2 linked regions of the Arabidopsis thaliana genome follow. The protein of the gene in region 2 interacts with the protein of the main gene of each other region in a pairwise test. Each region holds a gene or a part of one and is shown on either strand. Other genes may lie near its edges.

What was found. Proteins that work in one complex are often made in the same cells at the same time.
Region 1: the proteins of MBD1 (region 2) and AT3G23060 interact in a two-hybrid assay, tested with the Arabidopsis thaliana proteins (one large-scale study listed by BioGRID).

What each region holds. Positions count from the first base shown.
Region 1 is NC_003074.8:8,198,576-8,202,335, reverse strand, and holds the start of AT3G23060 (RING/U-box superfamily protein), read right to left. Parts: upstream 1,701-3,760; 5' UTR 1,469-1,700; coding exon 1,363-1,468; intron 973-1,362; coding exon 873-972; intron 795-872; coding exon 380-794; intron 296-379; coding exon 1-295.
Region 2 is NC_003075.7:11,947,095-11,950,854, forward strand, and holds MBD1 (methyl-CPG-binding domain 1), read right to left. Parts: upstream 1,711-3,760; 5' UTR 1,548-1,710; intron 1,426-1,547; 5' UTR 1,421-1,425; coding exon 1,301-1,420; intron 822-1,300; coding exon 327-821; 3' UTR 116-326; downstream 1-115. Other genes in the region: AT4G22750 (DHHC-type zinc finger protein), read right to left, coding at 2,272-2,406, 2,541-2,603, 2,708-2,793, 2,891-3,020, 3,126-3,217, 3,305-3,518. UniProt on the Arabidopsis thaliana protein: Probable transcriptional regulator.

The sequences.
Region 1 (3,760 bases), on a different chromosome or scaffold from region 2:
CACCATTGGTCTTCAGTTTCTGACCAGAGTTGTCCTCTCTATCCCTATCAGAGCTAATAAGGAGACTGTTTTGATTCACTTGAACAGGAACTTCCTTTGTTTCTCTATTCACAACACACTTGTTCTGAATAGGTTCAACAGATTCCTCTGTGTCGTCATCCGAACTTATCTCAGGCTCAACGATATCAGGAGGAGTATCGTTGATGTTTAGAGTGACAGAGAGAGAGAAAATAGGTTTACAAAGATCTTTCTCCTTTGGTACGACTTCCTGAAAAGTTGATCCTTCAGCTTCGTCCTAAGATGCATAAACACATTAGTTGCAAACAGATAGTTAACAAAGGAGAACAATAGTTATACAAAGACTCATATACATACTTACCAATCCATTGTCTTCAGGTTCGTTGTTCAGGTCAAATAGATTCTTAATTTTAGGCTCCTTAGGAGGCAGTTCGGGTTCTGGTTTCGAATCAATCTTCTTCGGGAGTGAAGCTTTTCTCCCACGTTTCTGGAACGTGATTATCGGTTTTCTAGTGCTTTGAAGAGCTAGAACGGTCTCCCTATGTTTCTCCTCCACAACCACATTAGGTGGTTCCACAACCACATTGGCTGGTTCCAATGGAGTATCAGGTGAGGATGATACTCTAGATGAAGAGACCCGCAGTGAAGTTCGAGATTTTCTCTTCTTTTTCGAAGATTTCACAGACGCTGCAACAGTTTTAGGTCCTGCCTTCTTTAAGCTTTCCATCATTGCTCGGTAGATTTTCAGCTTCAAATCCTGCCAAGTGCAATCCGACCTGCACTTATATAGATACCTCAAATCACATAAAAGCATAAAGATAGATGCAAATGCTAAGAATCAAACAAGTTCATACCGAAGTTTCTCTAGAGGAAAAACACCGAGGTTAACGTTGCAGACTGGACAAGCGTTCACTCTCTCATTTATGAACTTGTTACGAATGCAGCTCCTGCAAACTGTTACCACAAATTCCACAAGTCCCAATTCATATAAAGACACAAGATATACCAATACTTAAAGCCAGGACTAGAAACATAACAAGCTAAAGAAACAGCAACTTTGAAATCACAAAGACATAAACAGACACTGAATCATCCACTTACAAAAAAAAACAGTCCTTATCTGCTTACCTTAATATTTACACAGATACATGTTGAAACACACACAACAACACCAAAAAGCTAAACAAAACATCGGTTTCAACTTCCAAGTTTCAGAATCAATCTGATATAATCTCTAGTCTACACTAATTAATATAACCAATAAACAGAGAGATAGTCACAAACAAAAAATCAGAATCTAAATCACAAAGATAAAGGAAAAAACAATCGAAGGGTTACACTTACAGGTGTGGAGACACTCGGAGATTGTGGTGGCATCCTTAAACGGATTAGTGCAGATTGGACAAGCAAGGCATGGCTTAACCTCCTTACTAAGCACCTTTGTTAACATCTTTCTCTCCGATTCCCAAACTCAACAAATCGATAAGATTTATTGATTATATAGCTTCTTCGTTCACGTAACACAACATGGTGCATGAACGAAGAAGAAGACAAACCCACAAAAAAAAGTGTCTAGCTTTATTGTTGGTTTTCTCAGAGAGAATCGATTGTTGAAAAGATTGGATTTTGGTCTCTCAAGTTTCGCTCTCTCTGTCTCTCTCAGAGAAAAAAAAAATCTGTGTAAGAAGAGGTTTTGATTTTGGAAGAGTTTGCTTTTAAGTATTTTTAGAGAGGGTTGGTTTTAAAACTATGAATAATTAGAGAGGGTCAAAGTGACAGAAAGCTAAACTTCGGTGGCTCACAAAGAAAATATATTATAGTTTTTATGCCAATGATTACATGAGTGATGCATTAGGTTTAATTTATATTTAACAATTTATTGCAAAGTTTTTCAAATATAGAGTTACAAATTTGTTCATAAAAGGTCTACATTGTATATATATTTTTATATTTATTTTTCAGGCTCTTTAGTTTTCTTTTTGTTAACTTATAATCATTATGTTTTGGCCGTTACTAATTTATAAGGAAATTACATTTTTTCTTACGTAAGCAATTACGTATTTAACAAATAAAAATTTAGATTTTTTAACTATTTAAGTAGTATAGAATTAAATGAGTATTTCTTACTTAACATCTCTAAAGATTTTTGTAAATTTCTATGTAGGTTTTGTTCAATATCGGGAAAAATATCTACGTGTCAAAAACTTTCAATCTTACTAAAACATTTACAACATTTTCTTACGTCACCAATTACGTATTTAACAAATGAAAATTTAGATTTTTTACTATTTAAAATTTAATTAAATGCTTATCCTTTGACTTAAAATCTTTAAATATTTTGTAAATTTCTATGTACGTTTTGTTCAATTTCGAGAAAAATATCTACATGTAGTTTACGTGTTCAAAATTTTTAAATTCTTCTATAAAATTTACATCTTTTTGACGTCAGCAATTACGTATTTAACAAATGAAATTTTAGATTTCTTACTATGTAAGTAAAATTAAATTAAATGCGTATTTCTGACTTAAAATCTCTAAATACACTGTAAATTTCTTTCTATGTTTGTTCAATTTCAAGAAAAATATCCGCATGTAATATACTTGTCAAAATTCCAAATCTTTCTAAACAATTTCATGTATATACATTGAATTTCATATTGGACCATACCAAATTTCTGTATTATGCGAGATATACTGTTTAATTTATATTTTTCCTAAACTGATGCTACATGTGTAAAAATGATCTCATATATTATTTGACGAGTTAGAGAGAATATTTATAAATATTTCCTACATGTCTTTACAAGAATACAGTTTTAGGAATTGGTTTTTGTTTTTACGTAAAAATAATGTTTAAGCTACTTTTATTAGTGTTTTGAAATGTGTAGTACAAGAACAATGTCTCTTGGAAAATATTTCTGAATCTCCTTAATGAATTTTATGATAAGATTTTATAGAATTTACATTAGTCCTGTATAAATTCACATTAAATGTATTATAGACAAAACATTGGTATATAAAGAATACTACGTGAAAATATTTGTGAATCCTTTTTGTGAAGTGTTTGATATATGAGGAGATATTTCATGTCTAAAATCTAATTTATCATAAAACAAAAATAGTGCAATGTAGATTTTCAAAAAAAAGAAAAACATTTTCACCTATCTTTTGTTCTTATTTTGTGTGTCAACATATTCCCTTCGCTTTATTTTCTTAAGTGTAAATAAAAGGGCCTTCCTGGAAAGTAAACTATAATAAACGAACCTCTAAAAGATGTAAACTAGGCCTTGCATATTATGGCCTCATGAGGCTTTTGGGTTTGTACTAGTTTGGATTTATTTGTAAAGTGTCATCATGTATCAAATTTTGAATTCCTATGGCCACTCTCTTAGACATTGCAAGAATTGAATGGTCGTACGAAATTAAGAAAACAGATATTTAAGTCAAAAAAATAAATCTTTGGAATGAAACTTCACGTACATGATAATGATTGTTAATATGCTGATTATATATATATTGAACTCAGAAACTTAAAGTCTAGTACAAAAACAGAAACAGAAATAAAAGAGTCCAAACTCCCATATATAGCAGTTCAAATATCATAATAACATAAACATTTCGAATTTGTGGTTTTAATTTAGTAAACAATTGGACATGCTACTATAATTTCTTAAACTGCTTTTTCAAAACTAAACACGTATTATCTCCAGAGTCCAGATCATTTGAATATTTATTGTTTGTG
Region 2 (3,760 bases):
GCACACCGCACGCTATAGCAGAGGGTGCGCTTGGAGTAGAAGAAGTTGTACACATGCTGCTTGAATATACTTTGTCGTGTTTGTTTGTACACACTGAGTGAAAACCAGAGCGATTCATGTAGTTGTGACTTGTGACATAACAAAAAGAGAAGAAAAGATAATCCTTCATTAGAAAATAAAGATCCAATCAGAGTCAAAGAGATGAGTTTAAGAAACATTCTACAGTAAGAAGTCCGACACCCTTAAAAGACTAAACCAGATAGAAACCTAAAACTGACTCCAATAACAACTTCAACACCATAAGAAGCTGGGAAGCGCTATGTAGCTCAATCAATTGTAACTTTCCTTGATGGCTTGGGGGTCCTGTCAGATAATATCCCACTAGGAACCGTCTCTTCCATCACCTTTGGGACTGTGAAATTGAAATCTCCAAGCAGTGCATACTTGTAATCCTGATTGGCATCGATGAAGGCTGCGATTTCATTACGAGACTTGAGCTTCTTCCCAGTAGGAGTTATGTAGTACGCATCCATTTTCGAGTAATCCTTTCTCAGAATTAAGCTCCTTTTGAACCCTCTTGGTGTCCTCGGCAAGCCAGGCTTGTCGATGACCCATGTTCTGGAGGAATCATAGTTTAGATCTCCAACATCTTCACAGGACACACCTTCTTTCGTCTTGCAAAAAAACGGGTCCTCTTGTACTCTACTTCTGATATCTTCATACTCATCTTGAGTATCAATCTTCCTCCACTTCATGCACTTCTCACACTGCACAGCAAAGACATCTATCGACCTCCCTGGAGTACCGGCTTTTTTCTGCACCTGCACAATACAAATATGGAATCTCGGTGAAAAGAAGAACAGTCACTCACAAGCTACTTGGATCAACAGAATCATACTACAAATCGTTTAATATATAGCAAGATGAGAAAACATGCGTAGAGAAACACAAAAGTCAAAACAGGGACACCACCAAAAGAGTGATACTGAGAACATGCAGAATCAAAAACCAAATTTGAAGAAAAGGGTCACTGCGAAACCTTAAATAGCATAAATATTGATTAAATTTTATACATAACTGATCAGCCAAAGACACAACGAGAAATAAAGTTATAACCTTTATGTCTGCATCAGTTCGTCAAATAACACTAGTAACTAAGTCTTCGAAACTGGTTGAAAAAAAACCTTAAGATTCTCAACTAAAACCCTAATTAAGAGATAGAATTCAATGATAAGATCTGTGTGGTAAAGAGAGACCACAAAGCAAAATTGAAACCGGGTTTAGGTTTAGTGAGGTTTACCTTAATGGTTGTTGGTTCAGCTGATTTCTCAGTCTGCTCCTCAATCTTACTTCCAGATGAAGCAACTGATGAGTTTTCCGATCGAGACTTCTTCAAGTTCATTGCCGGAAATGGTAACATTAAACCTTCAATTTCAAGCCCTAAACGATCAGTATAACGAAGCGAGAGAAAACTCCAAAATTGCGAAATTCAAGTACGAAATCGAATCAAAGAGCAGATTCAAGGAGAGTGATCCAAAAGTTCATACCTCGAACAACGATTCAGATTTCCAAAAATCTCAGAGCTCTTTGTTAGAGAATTTGAGAATTTTTCTTTGAACCCTTTTTAATGCAATGTTTTTTTTTGGCCAGCAGAAGAAGAAAAAATCTTCTCCAACTGTATTTACAGATGTCGAGATATGATTGGTTCAATGCGACACGCAGACCATTTCTGTAATTTTTAATGGATTTTCTACTAAACAGGGCATAATAATTAATTAAATTTCCAAGTGTTTGTTAAATGGTTGACTCTGGATTTTAAATATGTACATATTTGGCCAAAATTATATAGACCAGAAATTTAGTTTTTAAAAAAAATTATTTTAGTAAAAGTATTACATTATAAAATAACAATAAAACAAAAAAGGACAAAAATAATTATTTTTGATTCGATCAAAAACATACAGAAAGTATGTGGTACGTCAAATCTTTGATAGTTACAGTACATCATTCACGTGTCGTGATTTTTTTATTTTTTATGATAAATAACATGTTATTATTATCAATAGTGAAAAAATGAAAATGGTATATTTAAGCAAATGTGAAAATGGTATATTTAAGAAGTTTGAGAAATTTCTTTTCACGAAATAAAAAGATACAAATTCCACAATAGGCACTAATCTTTATAATACACAAGACAATGTTTGATATAATATTTGATTGATACATACACAAAGCAGAAGACACACTTCCAAAAATTTCAAGTTTGTAAGGTCATAGAGACTGAAGCGGCTCTGTCTCGGACTCCGACCTGCTCGTAAAGTCTAACCCTCCAAGTGCTGGCAACTTCTTCTTATCGTCTTCCGTGTACAATGGCACGAACCAATACATTTTATCACTTCCAAAAACCTGATTCAACAAAGGAATAGAGACCAAACTTTTTAAAGCTTTCATTGTGTTCGATGTCAAAGATATTATCTAAGTAGCGGGGAAACGAATCAGTCACTGAAGAACGAGTGAAACAAAGAAGATGGAGAGCGAACCTGTTCAAAGTTTGTCTTACGACCAACGTTGTATGGCCAGTTCACTGTATGCTTCTCATACGCCTGAGATTAAAGAAACCATTAGTTTGGTCAGTGAGTTTATTGACATGGAGATTCCTGAGAGAACCCAAGTTAAGAGCAAAACCAAGTGAGAGTTGTTGCTTTACCTCAATAGTTGTGGTGTTACGAGCGACCAACATTATGTGCATTATTAGGAAGCCTAGGACACTTAGGGCAAATGCTATGTTCAATACTGGAAAGCAAGAGAGTGAAGTTTTTGAATCAGATGGTAACGTTAAGGTGTTCTGAAACAAAAACGGAAACTGAGATTTCTATATCTTTGAACTCACCAAATGCAACAAAGCTGGCTGCTAGGCTTCCTGGTGATACGGTTATATCACCATCTCCATCGCTGAAGAATACGAGGAAAATTGGCAATAGTGATACTGCAACCACCGTTGTCTCAAGAAATGTGTAAAACTGCATTTTTGAGATATTGGGAATGGATTATGATCATGGCAACATTAATGAACAGAACATATCAAAAACAACTTCGTTCAGCGATGCTATGATAAGTTGACATACCAAGAATAGGAGAAATGATTTGTAGTTATTTGCACCAACACAATTCACCACCCAAACACAGTGATGGTCCATCTTTAGTATGCATCTTCCACCTGAAAACCCAATATGACAACTTTTTCACTACTAAAAAACACATATACCGGATTCAAAGAAAAGAATCACTCATTGAAGAGACTTACAGACTGAACAATGGTGAGAACGAGGCGGTTTATATTGATTGCACTTTCTACAATATCTTACACCATGAGACGAGGAATCTCCAACCGAAGCTTCTCCAATCAAAGCTTGGTTTCCCTCGCTTTTCTCTATGTCTAATTCTGGCCTCCAACCCGTTGGAACACCACCAGGGTCCGTCACAACAACAGAGAAATAACTCCACAGTAGCATTATAAGCTGCAAACAAAACAACAATCATAAAAAAAATGAGTCCTTTGCTTCCTTACTCTTTCCTCTGTGAGTTCTACAATGCGAGGGAGTTCAAATGTTGATAATCTATTAAAACACACAAGAAACCAACAGCTTTAAAACTAAAAGAAACAAAGACACTCTACACTACAACCAAATCAAACCAAAAAAAAAAAGATGAATACTTGATTGCTTACTTAGCTTATACTATCCTAATTCACTATCTCATC